Drosophila melanogaster: one gene and its partners. The protein of the gene in region 2 interacts with the protein of the main gene of each other region in a pairwise test. Each region holds a gene or a part of one and is shown on either strand. Other genes may lie near its edges.

What was found.
Region 1: the proteins of CG8320 (region 2) and tap interact in a two-hybrid assay, tested with the Drosophila melanogaster proteins (one large-scale study listed by BioGRID).
Region 3: the proteins of CG8320 (region 2) and CG14411 interact in a two-hybrid assay, tested with the Drosophila melanogaster proteins (one large-scale study listed by BioGRID).
Region 4: the proteins of CG8320 (region 2) and lute interact in a two-hybrid assay, tested with the Drosophila melanogaster proteins (one large-scale study listed by BioGRID).

The regions. Positions count from the first base shown.
Region 1 is NT_037436.4:17,358,017-17,362,340, forward strand, and holds tap (target of poxn), read left to right. Parts: upstream 1-1,665; 5' UTR 1,666-1,776; coding exon 1,777-2,973; 3' UTR 2,974-3,795; downstream 3,796-4,324. UniProt on the Drosophila melanogaster protein: May play a role in the specification of the sugar-sensitive adult gustatory neuron and affect the response to sugar and salt. Regulated by POXN.
Region 2 is NT_033778.4:15,990,834-15,994,261, forward strand, and holds CG8320 (uncharacterized protein), read left to right. Parts: upstream 1-1,574; 5' UTR 1,575-1,612; intron 1,613-1,750; 5' UTR 1,751-1,873; coding exon 1,874-1,879; intron 1,880-1,944; coding exon 1,945-2,100; intron 2,101-2,159; coding exon 2,160-2,296; intron 2,297-2,353; coding exon 2,354-2,579; 3' UTR 2,580-2,874; downstream 2,875-3,428. Other genes in the region: CG8314 (uncharacterized protein), read right to left, coding at 26-313; Pex11ab (peroxin 11a/b), read right to left, coding at 661-1,214, 1,268-1,439; ATPCL (ATP citrate lyase), read right to left, coding at 3,395-3,428. UniProt on the Drosophila melanogaster protein: May play an important role during development and helps to maintain proper levels of Fz.
Region 3 is NC_004354.4:14,831,016-14,836,787, forward strand, and holds CG14411 (uncharacterized protein), read left to right. Parts: upstream 1-1,631; 5' UTR 1,632-1,930; exon of another isoform or gene 1,931-1,945; intron 1,946-2,128; 5' UTR 2,129-2,238; coding exon 2,239-4,770; 3' UTR 4,771-5,247; downstream 5,248-5,772. Other genes in the region: CG14408 (uncharacterized protein), read right to left, coding at 77-495, 589-651, 726-767; CG14410 (uncharacterized protein), read left to right, coding at 5,710-5,772.
Region 4 is NT_033777.3:17,378,247-17,382,987, reverse strand, and holds the start of lute (lute), read right to left. Parts: upstream 3,045-4,741; 5' UTR 2,853-3,044; intron 860-2,852; exon of another isoform or gene 582-859; intron 486-581; exon of another isoform or gene 221-485; intron 1-220.

The DNA of each region.
Region 1 (4,324 bases), on a different chromosome or scaffold from region 2:
GTAGTACTTAGCTCTTATAAAGATATTGATACAAACTACCATTAATATTCTGTTTAAAACTTCAATATAAATATATTTATATATATTTATATATATAAATATATTTATATATATATAAATATATTTTATAAGTTACGAAAACACTCATTGTACTGATCATACAAGAAAACTGATTAAAAAATAAATAAATAAGTATACCATTAAGTATTTGTTTATTTATATAAAACTATCTTGGTTTTGAAATCTATAAGGAAATTAATCAAACATCAGCTCTACTTAGTACATTTTTCATAACATACTTAGCTACCTTATAAAGCACTATTAAAGAAAAAATTGATGGTGTCACAATTACTGAAGCAAGGTTTATATTTTTTCAACAAAAGCACTCAATTCATTTCCATTAGGAGGAACTGCCTGAAATGTGGCATATTACTAAATTAGCCCCCTCGACACTCAAGTTCTCACTCGTGCTGGTAATTTGCGGCAATTGCCGCATATCATAACAAATCCGCACGTGGCACCCGTCGCCCACTTGAAATTGCAACTCCGATCCTCCTTTAACAGGATTGCCACAGATAGGAATCCCACATCGGCACACTTTGCCACTTGAGCAGCCGTTAAGACCGCGGCACGTGGCAACGCCTGGGTTTTCTACCAGGAGGATGGAGTCCTGTGGGAGTGAGAGCTTTCCGTTGAATACACATGTTGCTTTTGGTAAGTGGAGGCGGCATCCTGGCCACGTGCCACTAACCCGTTTAGCGACAGGCGTAAGCCCTAAACGATTATTGCGGTTTAGTTGCGAAAGGCGAAAGAGTTGATGGTAATTGAATCTTTTGAATTGCAATCGCATTATTTCGATGTGGCGATAAAACAAAATAACAATTTATTTAGTCCACGAAGCACACATACTCTATATATGTAGGAAAGGGTAAGAAATCTTTTAGTACGGAAATGGATTAAATCTCGTCCGAAAATTATACCTACACCGAAAATATAACAAAGTCGTAATGATCCGAAGATATCATATTAAACAAAAGTATTCCCTATTTCAAATAATTTTTGGATTTATCCTTAAACTAAGTGATTTTTACAAAATATATAATAATATAATATTTCTTCTTTTAATTTAACTATAATATAAAGCATATCTTAAATTGACCAACAATACTACTCATTCATTAATATAAATATAATTAAGTTTAAGCTGTGCAGTAAGCACATTGTATTTAAATAACCCTAGAGGAAGGGTATGACTATAGAGACGAGCTTTGATGATGCCGTTGGCGACACCGCTGATCCTCGGACGCAGACATCCTTCCGATTGGCCTAGAGAGCACCGCTCGCAGCGAAGCGTGAAAAATGCTCGTATTTTGACTGGTAGCGGCGGCCCGCAGAACGAATCTCCATCTCCAGGAAGTTCACCCCGCTGCAGGCAGTTCTAGCTAGACGACGTTGGTGTGTGAGTTGGCAAAAGCCACCCCCGGGCGGCAATCACGGCGCATATCTGTTGGGATTTGTGTCGGGGTTCTGTGCTCTCTACTTTGCGCTATGGCGCCGCCACGACCGACGACAATGCGCCGAGGGTTGATGCCTGTTAGTCCGGACCCAAATCAGCGGGCTTAATGGCTGGCCGGGCACATAAAACCGGTGCGCACTCCTCGCCAGCTTTTAGTTGGTGCGGGCACGCGAGACGCGAAGAAACAACTCTCTCAAAGCGGAAATCGTAAATCGGAAATGTGCTAAAGGATATACACACCGTGATACAGATACGAGATCATGGCCGCCTGCTACAATGCCTATAGCGCTGGATCACAGTCCTTCGAGTTCGACGAGGACGACGACGACGCCTCCTTCGACAGTGGCTACGAGAAGAGTTTCGAGACGGAGGCCCAGTTGAGCTCACGACGCCGCTTGGACTTTGGCACTCCGCCGACTCCGGCGATCCCGCAACCGTACTCCGGCGGCACCTGGGACGCCGTACCGCTCAGCTCACCGCCGGCGGGCTTCGTGGGATTGCTCGATACGAGCAGCAATCACAGCACTCGGAGCGGCAGGACACTGGTCGAACATCTGAACAGTCGGGCCACGAATGGCGTCTTCGATCCGCCATTGACCAGTACGCCGGTGAAGTCGCCAGAGGATCCCAATGCGCCGCGACCGAAACGCAAATATGCCGTCGGCAAGAACAGAGTAACTCGCTCGCGCAGTCCAACCCAAGTGGTGAAGATCAAGCGTTTCCGCCGCATGAAGGCCAATGACCGGGAGCGGAATCGGATGCATAACTTGAATGATGCCCTGGAGAAACTACGCGTCACTCTGCCCTCGCTTCCCGAGGAGACGAAGCTGACGAAGATCGAGATTCTGCGATTTGCGCACAACTACATCTTTGCCCTGGAGCAGGTGCTGGAAAGCGGAGGTTCAATCAACCTGGATCTGGAGAAGCTGCAGAACTTCACGCTGAGTGGTGAGAGGATTACCAAGGAGCTCTTCGATGCTCTTTTCGTGAATCCACAGCCGTATCCCTTGTTCGGACGAATGTTCCCCTATGGACAGGGAATGGCGCCTCTTGCACAGCACCAGACTGCTCCAGCATCGCACGCGGAGCAGCCGCCGGCGATGGGTGGCTTTCAGCACGGCATGGACTATCCGCAGCAGCCACCAGGATTCGACTTTACAGGCAGCATGCGGTTTTACCACCAACAGCAACAGCAGCCGCATCAGCCTCACCATCTGCAGCCTAATCCCCAGCAGGAGTCCAGCCCGCAGCAGTTCTCGCAGGAGAAATACGATCTGTTCAGGGGATCCTTCGATGCAGCTGCCAATCTTCATTCTACGAACTTGGATTCTGGGATTCACCAGCAGAGCAGCTTCTACTCGCAAACACCGCCATGGAAGGACTATCCGGAGGATCAGGCACACGTGCATCCCGTTCCACATCAACACAGCTACAAAAACTTCGCCCCGCAGGTGTAGCACAGTTTTGTGGGCCAAACTACGATCTTAGGGTTTTCAGCGTGATATACTAAAAGATTGCCGGAAATTGCAGGAAACTGATCAAGGGGAATTCCTCTAAGCGATTTGCCCTTGACTTACTTTAAAAACATAACTAAAGTAACTTATGGGTCCTATCTCGGGATTTCCCTTCCTTACTTTTCTCAACTTTCCTGCAATCCGTTGATATTGGTAATAAGCGAGGCACCTAATTGACTGCTAAGATTATCATCAAGTTTGAAAATGAAATATCTTTAAAAATTGTATATTTCACACTTGCGCTAATCTTTGAACTCAATTAGTTTCATGTTATAGAGGGATCCTCAATAGATTAACCAATTTAAAGTCAAACATCCAAAGTTAAGCTTCACGAACTCATTATTAATTCATATGAATTCCCATTATATTTGTATTCATTGGCTTCCTTCTTGCGGATCTCTGGTGAATATTTGAATTAAAAGTGCTTAGGGTAATCAATTTTCCAAAAAGCACTCTTCTTCTCAACATATTCGCATTCTTCTTGACTATATAGTACAAATCGGTTGTCCATTTAGTGTAAGCGATACGTACCTTGCCATTCTAGATTTAAGACCTATCTATAAGGATTCTTAAAATGAACCAGGTATTAGCCATAATTAACTGTACAATCGATTAAGTGTATGTAGGTTATGCCAGATTCTATATCAGTTATTGCAATGCAAGGAAAGCGAGCTAGTCAGGGCCAGAACTTTAAGGTGATAAGATTGAATTTCGATGTAAAACCATAAAGATTTATTTTTGCAAATAAAGTTGACGATCAAAACGAGCCAGAAAATGGTTTTGCGAGTGGGAAGAATGGACGAACTCCTGGACAAAGTCAAAAATAGTAGCCAAAGCAAACAACCCTGGAATCAGTGTACCGCTGTGTGCGGATTTCAGGTCCCAAACAAAGGACTTAAATTCAAATAAATATTGTATATTGCAGGGCACATAAAACGAATGGCTTTGTGTGTGTGCACTGCAGCTTGTTCTTATCGTAGGGGGCACTTTTCGCCCTTACAATTCGACATGGGGTGAGTTCAAGTAGAAACCGAACTCGAACTCCCGGCTCGGCCTTCATAGCTCGAACAATGGAAGATTGCCGTCACCTGCCACACAATTACAAAACGAATGTACCAACAGCAGCAGTCAGGACCAAACAGGGAATCCTGAAACATGAGCTGTGAGCCAGTGGACCTGCATGAATGCCACTCAAATTATTTAGTTGAATGAACCGAACCGGCAAGAGTCGAGGGAAATGCTTTACTGCTTTACTGCCTAACTGGGTAACAACTGACTGACTGACGTTTTCCGT
Region 2 (3,428 bases):
AAGTGCATGGCCATCAGCAACTCACCGGATCCGAGAGCATTGTGCGTATGTGCGAGGCGAAGGCCAGGAAGGCGAGTGCCTGGAATATGATCATGTTGATGGTACTGAAGACGGTATAGTTGCTGGGCAGAAGGATCAGCCGCATGACCACGAATTCGGCGAACAGGATAAGCAGCCAGGTCATGATTACGCACACAATGCCGCAGATGTCCTTGACGCACCAGGCCTTGTTTCCGCAACATCGGTTGTGCTGGTCAACGCCACCGAATCCTCCGCTACCGCCGGGCGACAGCGCGGAGTACGAGTAGTTCATGGTGTCCGGATGCAGCCCACGCACATGTGACGCATCGGCCTCGTCAATTCCGTGATAACGCCACCGGACTGCGGACCATTAGCCAAAAGGCGTTTGATAAACAGCAAACGCAAAGCAAGAAAACACAACTAGCAATGTGCCATTCGCGTCCGCGGATATGGCGTCAGCTGTTTGCCATTCGCCCAAGGGCGCTGACAGGGTGAGGATAACCAAGGTGACGGTTTAATAAAATCGTTTGTTTATCATTCAGCTTAATCCGAGCACAAATACAAATACAATACATACAACACTTAAAATAGATACAAGGAAATACAGGCCCTTATCTACAAAGTTTCCAATATCAGGTGTTATGCAGGCGTTAGCTTGGCCCTCGGTTCCAGCAGAGCCCAGAGTCCAGCCAGCGATGAAATTGCCCCCAGGAGTCCAATTGTCCGGGGCGTGAGACTTGTGTAACCCAGAGCCGTCAGCGGAATGAAGAAGTCGCACGCATTCTTCACCGTGTCCACAACTATGTCTTTGTGTCCCTGCATCAGCACGTAGGACTGCAGGGCAAGGCGCTTAAAGTCCTCCGGCGAGTTGATGCTCGCGGGGATGCGGCAGCGCGAAATGCCGCTCTTGCTACCGGATCGATGCAGGTCCAGTACTCTCAGGATCTCGTAGAAGTCCCGGCACAAGTTCATTATGATCGAGAAGAGCCAGTACTTATTGGCGATGTTGGACCAGCGCTTGGCGTTCACCGCCGTCAGTCCCGTCCTGGCCAGCCAGAGGAAGTGATCGGCGAAGAGGAACAGCGATTGTGACAGCTTGCTTAAGGTGAGCGTCACACGGATGTTAAGATCCGGATGGTGAATGGTCTTCAGAGCGCCGTAGAATACATCAACGCACTTACCAAAGCGGAGTACTGAGTTGAAATGAGATTAGCTACGTGCTCGTGGAATACCTTAGAATACCTACATTTTCGGAATGTGCTCAGGATGTATTCAACCGTCTTGAAGTTGTCCACAAGCGCTGGATTGGAATTGGCGGACTCCAGCGAGTCCCACATTGCACGCGAGGCATACTGAATAAGTCGGGCGATTTTGTCCCGTCCGCCAGCCTGATTGTTCAACTGCACCAGTTGATCCATATTTATGTTGTGACCGCACAGCTCGTTGGACAGCTAAAATCAAAATTATGCCAAATCCAAAATCCAAAGTTCGATTATTAGGCTGAGGGCCCAGCAGCTGTTCTGCCGCTTCACTGTGAATGGCAAGTTTTTTTTTTAATAAACCAGCACCGTGGGCGTAGATTGAATATATTGTGGGTGCAACAATTTGTAAATAATATATTAAGAGCAAATTAAAATAAGTAAATTGCTTAAGTACCTTTCCATTACAGTTTTAAATGCTATATTTACCCTTAATATCACTTTCCCTCTACGGCCATGCTTAACATAAGTAATGCGCACGTTTCACAGCACTGTCGTTTCAACACCGTTTTGTTCAGTTGAAGACGTCGCCACGTAAATAGTGGTCCGATTTTAGATTTTGAAATAGCTGACACACAACTTGCAATCCCACCATGGCTGTAAGTGTAACTAGCACAGGGATAACGCTCTCAAGGATTACATAAAACCGCTTGTCCACTTTCAGCCCCAGCAAAAGGGTAAACAAGGCACGAAGGGCGCCAAGCAAATCGTGGAGGAAAACAAGACTACACTGACTTTCTACCGGAACATGGCCATTGGATGTGCTGCACCCGCTCTGCTCCTCAGTTTCCTGGTCTTCGAAGTCACCAAAACCTCAGTGGTAGGCCGCCGAAAATCCCCCTCAATGAACTCAATCATCAGCCTCTCGTTCTTTATTAGTTTATGCACATTCTTTCGTTGCTGATCCTGGGGAGCTCCTACCAGTTTATGGCGTTCATGTCGCAGGCCAAATACTCTGAGAGCGGTGCTCTTTTGGACTCCGGCAACGACTTAAATATGGAAGGCGGCATCGCGGAGTAAGTGCACCCACAGAAGCTTTGAAGTACTCTGCCTACACATGATTCTCCCTCTAGAAACGTTAAGGATTTGATCATCCTTACTTCCGGCACCCTGCTGCTGGCCCTCATCTCAAACTACTTCTGGTTGGTGCTGCTTTTGGCGCCCATACGAGCTGGATGGATGCTCTGGGGCTCCGTCATCCAGCCGTGGCTGTCGCAACGCAACGCCCAGGACGATAATCCCCAGGTGGACGAGAAAAAGCAAAAAAAGATGGATCGCAGAATGCGTCGCATGAGATAGAAGCCACTTTCCGAGTTGACCTGGTGGTTAAGGGGTTCCTGGTTTTAATGAGATTCTACGCTTAGTTGTGTGTGCGTTTCCAATTTGTTAATTGTTCAGCAAATTAAACTGCTCGAGACAAAGACAATTCATTGTTTTAGTTAGTCAAAGCATTTGTGCGATTTAATTGCGGTGAATTTTTAAAGACGCAAACTTTGCGAGGGAAATTGCATTTCCTCAAGGCTGCCTCCCATTTTTTGTGCATTGTAAATATTCGTGTAATTGTTTATAAATAAATGTGCTTCAGTGCAGCAGGAACTAGTGCAGTGTCCGTTTCTCTTCGAGATGCTGGCAAAGGAAGCGTGGGATTTAAAGAACAAATAGTAAAGGAAGGGTGACAAAAATAAAATTAAGCTTTTGCAACAATTTATTCTCTTGTTGTCTAGACAATTGTGAGCATCCAAACTAAAGTATAAAAGTATCAAATAATGTTATGCCGGGTACTGGTGTGTTGTGCGGCTCGGAGCACTAGATTTAACTAGGTCTAGATTCCAAAACCCCTAAGGGCTCCGGGGACACGCAGCGCTTACAAAAACAACGAGGGTAATGATGGTAACTTAAGAACTTTAAATGCAGGATAAGTGAGAGGGAAAGGGATCTGGGGAGAGTCACATGCGCGGATAGACCTCAATGGATCCTTCCAGCCAGCGGAGCGGGTGACCTCTTTGCCTAACATCATACATCTGTGCTTAACTACAACAACTTCCGAATAATATATATGCTTGTATATACGTAAATATATATATATAACATCGTCGCGGCTTCATCAGCACGCCTTAGTTGTACTGCTCGGGAATGACGTATGAGATG
Region 3 (5,772 bases), on a different chromosome or scaffold from region 2:
CGGTGGAAAGAGGTTTCTGTGACCTGGTTCTTGGTTCTTAAGCAGTATTCCTTGAAGGGAACCCCATGAACTTTACCTGGATGCCCGAAGCGCTTGCTTAAGCTGACCCTGGAGCTTGCCGACCCGGTTATTGGCCACCTCGAGCTTCAGCTGGCACATCTTGAGGGCATTGCGGGTGTCGGTGACCTCCAGCTGGGACTGATTGACCTTGCTGGCGGCGTGGCTAAGCATCTCCTGGCAGGCGGTGTCCAGCGTCGACTTCTCGCCCAGACCCTGTTCGGCCAGGTAGACCATCTCCTTGGCGGCGGCATGAATGGACTTGGCCTTCTCGTGGTTGGCGGCGGCCAATTGCGTTTCCTTGGCCAACTGGGCGGCGTAGATGCGAGATTCGTAGTACGGCTTGGCGGCATCAATCGAGTTGCCCAGCTTGTGGGCGGCTGCCTTGATTCTCACCACACTTTCCGCCAGCAAACGCTTGAATTCGCACTTGGCCTCCTTTTTTTTTTGGTTTGTTTTGGGACAGAGATCGCAAGCAATAATGGTAAGTAACTGGGGTAACTGGGGAAAAATCAATACTCGCCCACTCACATCGAGCTCCACTTCGTATCGGTTGATGTTGTCCGTGGCGGAGTTCAGCTTCTCCAGCTCCACCTAAGCGGGCTCCCGAGGATTAGGTTGTTTGGCATATGTAGGTGTATGTATGTATGTGTGTAGGTGGTACCTACCTGGACCCTCGGATCCACGGGCGTGTTGCTCTCCGTTGACATGGTGCCTGGCTGATTTGTGGGGGAGGGGGATTGGGGTGGTCGATTCTCGGGTCTTGCCTGGATTTCACCGTGGAGTTGCCGTAATGGATGCAGTGCAGCAGGGCAGCGGGGCAGCGGGCTCGTTCAGTGGGTCAATTGCATCTGGGAATGCGATTCATTTTCCACGGCACATCGCGAATAGCAAAAGCAAAGCAAATCGAATCAATCGTGGAATGGAATCAAGCGAGCTTTTGCAGACACAATTATGACAACACGCTCCGGAGCTTTTGCGTTTGGCAAGCGCAAAAAGCTCTGGTCAGCTGCTTTTTACCGTTGCAAAGCGCGTAGAAACTATCGTTATCTTCTATTCCTAGGCAAATATCGATAAGTAAATAAAAAAAATTTCTCAGTTATTACGAATATATTATTACGAGATATCAAATAAAAACAAACAAATTTCTTTTATTCACTTGCGATTGGAACTCAGAATATGGGCGGTTCCCACTGTAATGCCATTATCTCAAAAACTGTGAATAATTATTCTATAAAATTTTCTGAAATGTCCTTAAAGAAATTACCTTTAAGGTAGTCTATTCAATTGCAATTCTTTTTAATTGCATATTTTATATACCTTCTTGAGTCCTATAAACTTAAGTCGTGGTAGATAGTAAGATTAATCATTTTTATTTTATTCGAATTCACCGCCAAACGAAAAACTAAATAAATAAAATAATGTAAAATTCTAAAGCAAATTAAAATTAAAAAGAACTGCCACACTTTTCACTTTCCATCGTTCCACGAGCAACGCTTAGTCATCGCCGTTTGCTTGACGCGCTCACGAAATACTGGAATCGACGGCGCCTGGTCACACAGCACCGATTGCACCTAGTGTCATGTGCGTGCATGTGTGTGCGTGTGTGTGTCAGTGTGTCGTATGAATTGTGGCGACCAAGTGCGCGAATAAAAATAAGTAAATAAATGCACATTGCGAGCGACGGTGCGTGTGTGCAGGCGCCAGATGGTGCACTTGGATGACCCCAACAACGAGTGACCCCGCTCGAAACGCATTCGAAGTTCGAAATCCGAAATACCAAAATCCAAAATCCAGAGACAACAGCCGCAGCAGCAGCAGCGGCAGCGGCAACAACAAAACGGCGATCGCTCGCACACACACGCACACACAGGTAGTAATCCGAACGGTAAGTTGCGTTCCAACTGATAAAAACTTATCACACCCCCCCCCCCCCCTCGAAAATAACGTGAATGGAAAAGATTCGATAATTCGAGTTTTGCTGCTCCACTTGTCACCTCATCTGTTTCCATTTGTCATATATTCATTTGCTCCAAATTCCGCTTTCTTTCGTTGCTTGCATGGCACACAGACAGCAGCGGAATAACGGTAAAGCTAGCGCCGACACCCACCCCCCCCCTCCCCGCCAGACAGGAAGTGGTGAATAATTGAATATTCCAACAACGTACCACCGACTAAATAATGGCCACGGGCGGCGGTGGCAGCGGCCACGGGGGAGCGGGATCCGCCGGAAATGCTGACCACCACAAGCGCAACACCTTCACCAGCTATGTGGCACCGCTACCCGGAGATTTGCGCGCCACAGCGGACACGAACGAATGGTGCCTGCCCAGCGATTTGAGGGACGTCCATCTGGCCAAGCCGCGACTGCTGCACGGCGAGCAGATAGTGGCATCGGCACCAGCCTACATGTACTCACCGATCGATCCGATGGACAGCAGCGGAGGCAGTGGCTCTACGCTCAGCGCCATATCATCTGCGTCCGGTACGCCAGCGGATCGTCATCACAAAGAGGCCACCTTCGGACTGTTGAGTGTCACCAATTTTAAGCTGGCCTTTGTGCCGCTGCATGAAAAGCGTAATCAAGCGATCACAGCGCCACTGATCGATCTATATCAGGAGAATACCTATTTGGGCCGCAATGAGATTACGCTAAACAACATCGATCATATCTATACCATTACCGAGCTGGGACGGGCGGCCAGTGCGCTGCAGGCGGCGCGAGGCATGGCCAGCCATGCGGGCATGAGCAGGCGCAAAAAACTGGAGCCCTTCAAGCAGCAGAACATCAGCGGTCGCATCGCCGCCCTGCATATCGTGTGCAAGAACTTTCGCCTGCTGAAATTCGCCTTCCAGCAGCAGGATTCGAAGATGTTTGGGGCCAGTGATCAGGGCAAACTGATTGCCTCGGCCCTGGTGCGTTTCGCTTATCCAATGCGGCATGATCTGAGCTTCGCCTATGCTCATCGAGAGCCATACTATTCGACACTGGGCGCATCCGGCACTAGTATGTATGCGACGAAAAACGACTGGGCCAGAGAGCTGATACGCTGCGGCGCCACCGAGTGGCAGGTGGTTAGCTGTGCCAGTGTCCAGCTGCTGCAGAATCCCCTCCAGGCGGGCAAGTACACTGTGCCGCCGCATTTTGTCATACCGAAGAGCTGCAGCGTGGATCGATTCCTGGATCTGTCGCGCGCCTTCTGCGATTCACGAGCTGCCTTCTGGGTGTATAGCTATGGGAGCAGCGCGGCACTGGTCAGATTAGCTGAACTGCAGCCGGCTGCGCAGCAGGACACCAAATCGGAGAATGTGATGCTGGAGCTGGTGCGCAAATGTGATGCGGGGCGACAGCTGAAGCTCCTACAGCTGACGGATCGCCTGCCGAGCATTCAGGATGTGCTGCGCGCCTATCAGAAGCTGAGGCGCCTATGCACGCCGGAAACGCCGGAGAAGTTTATGCTGCAGGATGACAAGTACCTGGGACTACTCGAAAAGACCAACTGGCTGTTCTATGTGTCGTTGTGCCTACGCTATGCTAGTGAAGCGTCTGCCACGCTGCGCAGCGGCGTTACCTGTGTCCTCCAGGAGTCGAATGGCCGTGATCTCTGCTGTGTGATTAGCAGTCTGGCGCAGCTATTGCTCGATCCGCATTTCCGTACTATCGATGGCTTCCAATCGCTGGTGCAGAAGGAGTGGGTGGCCCTGGAGCATCCGTTTCAGCGACGCCTGGGTCATGTCTATCCTGCCCAGCCGGCCGGCGGTAATGCCGAACTATTCGACAGCGAACAGAGTCCAGTGTTTCTGCTCTTCCTCGATTGCGTGTGGCAGCTGTTGCAGCAGTTCCCCGACGAGTTCGAGTTCACGCAGACATACCTGACCACGCTGTGGGACTCGTGCTTCATGCCCATCTTCGATACCTTCCAGTTCGATACGCAGGCCCAGCGACTGAAGGCGGTGACCGACTCGCAGCTCGTCCTGCGTCCCGTTTGGGATTGGGGCGAGCAGTTCTCGGACAAGGACAAAATGTTCTTTAGCAATCCGCTGTACCAGCGCCAAAGGGGCGATCTTGGCGCCCAGGCGGCTGCCGTGGCGCATCGCAGATCCCTGGCGGTGGGTAGTAAGGGAGCGCATGGCGCCGCTAGTGGTGTCACACCCTCGCGCAACACCATCAATCCGCAGCTCTTTGCGACCGCTTCGTCAGTGCCGCAGGATCGTTACCTGCAGCCGGCACATCGCATCTTCGATCTGCAGGTGTGGGATCAGTGCTACTACCGCTGGCTGCCCATTTTGGATATACGCGGCGGCGGCCAGCCGCAGGTGGATCTCTATCATCGCCTGCTGCTGAGCAACATAGCAAAGGTACAGCGCTGCCTGGATTATCAAAACTTTGACGATCTACCCGATGCGTATTACGAGTTCGCCGGCGAATCGCGTCCCAATCAGCACAAGGACGAGAAGCCCGACAAGGAGGACGAGGCCGAGTTCGTCGACGGTGTGGAGCGGCGCAGGAAGCCGACGGCGAAGGCCGCCACACCCACTAGCGGACTCACATCGGTTACCGGCAATCTGCAGCTATCGACCCTGTCGTCGTTCTTTCCCTTCGGGAATCCCATCGCCGGAGATGCACCGCTCCAGCTGTACGACATTCTGAGCAGCAGCAGCGAGCTGCTGATGGAGACCTCATCCTTTCTGGACAAGTCGTCCATTGTCTGATCCGCACACAAATCGGAGACACCACCACACACACACTCGTTCCACTTGTTTATTCAAAACGCTGAACTTTCGAAGTATTACACAAAAAACAGAATATAATTTGAGAAGAAGAAGAAAAAACACACACACACACACACACACAGAGGTGCAATTTCCTCACATATACATGGCATATCGCTTTTAACACTTTTGATTATTGTTAACTAATAAGCAAGTTATGGTATAAGTTTTTTTTTATTTCGTTTTACTACCACCAAACTGCATTGCATCGCTGCATTATAAAATTAAACGTAAATAATACGATTAACAAACGTAACGACAAGCAATTGATGTAAAACGAATTCAAAACACAAATCCGCAAAAACGAAAACGTACGAAAACACCAATTAAATCAATATGTATTATATTGTATGTAACTAAATATATGAAAGACTATTGATCGATATGTATATTTAAATAAATCAAATGTGTAAAATCAACAAAATGTGTTCTGATTGCGGCAACTTTTGAGAATTAAACGAATTAGGAACTATGAATATATATGGGTGAGTCAGCAAAAAAAATCGCATTAATATGTAAGCTTATGATTTTAAATTGAAGTGGATAGTTGGATAATTGAAAAGATAAAATAATTGACTAACAGTTTGGCTTTCGAAACGATTTGTGTTTGCTATTCTGAATAATTTTGGGTTCTTAATGTAACTCAATAAAAAGTTTAAGATTTTATAATTTAAAAAAAAGGAGCCATATAAGGGTTAACATAATTACAAGCTTCGATAAATAACTGTTTAATTCCCGATTTTTATTTATGATTTCATTTTATAGTTCGCTTGGACTTTCAGTTATAATCATAGCACATAGAAGTTATAATGAATTTATAAATATGCTATTATTATAATTTATTATTGGCACGAGAAACTAGATTAAACACTCAGCGAAATGGGTAATACAAATACGTTCAAGGACATAAAGGATTACACAATGAAAATCATTATAATTACA
Region 4 (4,741 bases), on a different chromosome or scaffold from region 2:
TTTCTTATTTTCCAGCCACATTTAAATTTCGGCTTGTTTAATTTAAGTTCTGATTGCTGATTTTCGTATGGATGGAATGCGCATTTTCCGCCCTGCCAATGCACTTTCGGTATAAAGGTGGATTCTCGCATTTGCCGCTTGCATTAACTTTGGGGGCGCCCTTTTGTCAATTGTACGATTCGTCGTTGTTTTCCTCAGCTCGGGACTTATTTCACTTTTCATTGCCTCTTTAATTGCAAATGGTGCGACCCACTTTTTGGCCAAGTCTCGGGTCACCACCATCTCAATCGCCGCACACTGACCGAAAAAAGGTGGCAAAGGGGAGACCCCAAAGCAACGCCCGCGTAACACTTTCGATTTTTATTTCCTCATTACATGCTTGCCAAAAAAAAAAAAGAAAAGACAAATTAAAAATAAAACTCAACCACATGCACAAGATCACAGCAAACCAGAAAAACGTACAAAAAGCTGAAATAAAATGAAGGGTTTGTATCTCTTTTCTTGCAGTCACTATATGTCGTCGAGTCTTTTGTTTTCCCATTACTCTGCGGCCCTTTTTTAACGAGCTCCTTTTGTTGCAGGCCGTTTTGCAATTGCCACGCATTTAGTTGATTAACCAAATGCGTCATAAGGCCCGGAACGCCCCGCTCTCGGATTCTCTGGATAAAATCTATGCCGCGAAAGCAATCGACCTCTGGAGCCCCTCACATCGCAGTTGCCAGACATTAGCGCTCACGTGGCCAATAAAAAACAAAATAACCTGTCGAACTCTTGGCCAAAAGCACTCGAACTGTCGATGGGGCGATCAGTCGGTCAAGTGTTTCGGCAAAAGAGCTCGTTGATTTGCCGATTTTGCACTTAAATTGTTCGCGCTTGTCTGATTTTTGTTTTTGGTTTTTGGCCAATTCGCTAACTTTGTACATTTTTTATGTGCTTTTGTTTTGTATTTTTACGGCGATTTGCAGCTCTGTAATCTGATAAGGGTTTCAAGGAACGATTTAAATAAAAGTATTCGGTTTTAGGTATAAGCCAAAATTGGGGTCAAAAATGCATGTTGCACAGATTGTGTACAAAGGATTAAGAATGATGATCTGGAATATGTTAAAATGCTTCTCTTATTTCTCAAATCTGTGCATTGTAAAAACAATAATATTATGTAATTGCTAAGTTCTATGAATATTTTGCATTCGCTGCGCTTGACGTCTCATCTGGCCATATTTCTGGACCAGAGTGTCTAATTCTCGTCAAGCTTCAGAGTTCCATTTTCTGAGAGTCTCGACTTTTGTTTGAGGTGTTCATGTTCATGTGAGTTTGGACCTCGGTTCGAGTGCCCTTAGGTTGTTTCGCAATTATTCAGACCGTCTGTCTGTCTTTTGGTTTTTCAGTCTTTCAGCGTTGCAGCTTTTCAGCTTTTCAGCCAGCGTCTGTGGCTTTAGACGCTTTAATTTGCGGATAATTTTATAGACATTAACATGCAGTTTTCCTCACTCACTTTTCATATTGCTTGAAATTATTTGGTAAGTCATGTTGCATTTTGTCTAATGACTTGACGAATTAACATTTTTTTACAATCTCTTACTTTTGTTATTTGCATTCGATTCTTTTTGGCCCAGAAAAATTCCCATTTCAATGGTCTTTCGTCTCACAATGATTTGCTGAATTCTAAATCGGTTTCTGTGGCTATGGCGACTTTTGGTTCTTTTGTCAAATATTTGAGTCGAAACCCGTTTTCGTTTCCTATTCTGCATATATATTAGTCGAAACTTATAAATTGTCATCGAGTTACTTAATATTTGAGTGCTCATGCCTACAGCCTGAGCGATCTTCGAGTGGAATTCTAAATGCGAATTCGACGTTTAGTCTTTTGTTTGCTTCCCCAACCTTTCCTCTTCTTTTTGGGTGGGGCATTATGAGCTTTTTTCTAAGGTTTACTTTGTTTCGAAATACAAACACGAAATAGTGTGGGACTTTGGCTGCCCGCTAAATTGAAGTATTTTCGAAATAGCCCCAAACCTGGAAGAGGGGGAGGGGGGAGGCTGTCATTAAAAGCAGCGCCTCTAAACACAAATCATAGTTATGAGCAGTAAATTACAACCAAATGCTCGGCAATTAACCGAGAGTGCAGCTAACGGATAATTACACGGCGGAACTACCTAAGCCACACTAAGTCTGATAAGAGATTTTAGCCCTGATTGAGATCTCAGACTGTTTATATTTGTATTTCGATATGGAGGCGTCCATCATTAGGCAACCATTCATTATTGATTCGAGAGATATTCATTATTGGTTGCAGTTAATGAAGCGGCTGTGGCAGTGGCATTGGCAGCGAAATTCTTCGATTCGCTGATTGAACTTAGCATTGCAAAGCACTTTCCGGGTGGCACTTAATGTGTTAAACATTGGCACAATTAATTAACCACAGCACCTGTTTATCCGCAGCCAAACTCGATGACTTTGATACACAGTAAACAGAGACAGGGACAGAAAGAGAGAGCTGGGAAGATGATCGTGACAGGTGTGAGAATGTGTTTTGGGGGCAAAACCGATCGACGAGCTTAGAAGCAATTATCTGTGCGGAATTTTTGGGGATTTTTTCAATGCACCCCCCCCCCCCCCCCCGCTTATATTTGCACTTCACTCAAAGCAATTTTCTTCGCATGTTTTTTTTTTGTACATTCGTTTACGCTCAACCGGCACGCCGAGCTGTCAGCTGAGTGATGAAAAAAAGTGAAAAAAAACACAAAATTGCACATAAATTAAAACGTCAACAGAAGAACAAACAAACGAGCTACGCGCACTTTGTCAACGATTATTATTACTTTAACAAGACATCAGGCGAATAATATACACACTTTTGTAATTTGTTGGCTGACAACTGATGAAATGGTCCCTACACATAGAGGGATTTTAATTGAATATATATATTTTTTTTTTACTTTTGTCTTGCGCATGCGCGACGACCGACCGGCCACGTTTTGAATTTTGGCTGTATTTCTCGTCTCGACGGACTGGCGGTTGTGACTGCGACTGCGCGAGTCAACGAACGAATTCGTAGTGAGTTACTAGGTTTTCAACTGAGTTCCAAAACCGGCAACTCGAGACTCGCCAGCCGATCGGACCACGATCGACTATATGGCTTTGGCTTCGGTTTTCATTCGCTCGCCTTGAGACGGTCACATAAATTGCATGCGATAAATGCGACGATTGGATTTGAATGGGTTTTCGCTTAATTTTAGGTTTTGTTTGCACGACTCTGGTACGCGACATTTCCTCAGATTTCACTTCCCCATTAATCTCGCGTTCTTGGTCAATTACAAAACAATTAAAGCGGCAAAACGCAGTTAATTGTGGCGGCGGCAGGGAAACTTGAAAACTCGAACCCAAATCGCTGGCGTTTTTCGCCAAATGCAGAAGTAATCAACGGCGCAGGAGGGGGACAGCCGGCGGTGCAATCAGAATGATAATTGCTGTCATGACAAACGCAAAAATAAAGTTTAAATAATAATAATTTCACTAGCTGCAGTTGCAGAATTCGCAGGATATCGCTGCAAATGGGCTGCGACAAGGGGCGGCAACATTAAGAAACCATTAGCAACAGCAGCCCTGTTGGCAACTGTCAAAAAGCGAAGCATAACACTGCGAGAAACAAATTAAATTAAAAATAATCCAATTAATAAATAATTCATATATTAAGTAAATCTCTATAGAATACTATATTATTACTAAGTATGGAAGGGAGCCCACATAATATATATCTTAAGGCCATAGATTGATTTGAAGTTAGCATATATTTCTTTTAGTGCAGCAGTAACGGTTTCTGCCCCCATCAGCAGCAGCTCAAGTAACAGCTGTGGCAGATGAGTGGGCGCTGCGCTGAAGGGTCAATGCAGTCGCAGTCACAGTTTCCGATCACAGTTCGCAGTCACCGCATCAGCGGCATCATTTTTCAAGTGGACCACTCGACGAGCGGCAGTAGCAACAAAAAGCAGGGGCGGTGGCCAAGCGGCTGCTTCAGGGGGCGCCAGAGTTTGAGGACCGCCTCTTCTGGGCCTCCACAAATGTGCCCATTCATTAGGGTTTAATAAATAATTTTTTTCCTCCTTTGCGGAGTTCCTTTTTTTTTGTGTTATTTTGTTTGAGGAGCACAGTTGGCGAGACTTTGACAAGCATCTTCCATACAGTCCACCCCCTTTACTCGACCAGCAGGGGTTGACGTTTACCAGCATCTGGCTTTGTGTGTCAAGTGGCGCTGCACAAACAACCGACTCGGGAGCTCGGGAAGGGCAAAGGATTAGCAGTGAGTTCCGGGATAATGTGCTAACCTCCGGGTGGATGGATGAATAAAATGTAGCTCATTGAGGTACAAAGTTTATAATCGGACATTTTAGGGCAAAGAATTTCGGTATGAGATGTATATTTGAGGTTTTGCATTTAGTGCATCTAGATTTGAATATTTATTTATCATTGTTTTATGATGAACACCAGTGCTTCAAAAATTATGCTCAAATGAACGGTGTGTGGTATAAGTATTTCAATGTGGTTTCTTAAGCTGTCTACCAAAAATTGCTCCGCTATGTTTTCGACTTTATTATGAGTTAAATTGTGTAAAGCAAAGTATCTTTTCTGTAATTATATGAATAATAAAAGCCGATATGGCCTACCACTTATTTTGTCATTATCTTGAATAATTATTTTAACAATTATGTAAAATGAAATTGTGCAACTCCAGTGACCACCATAC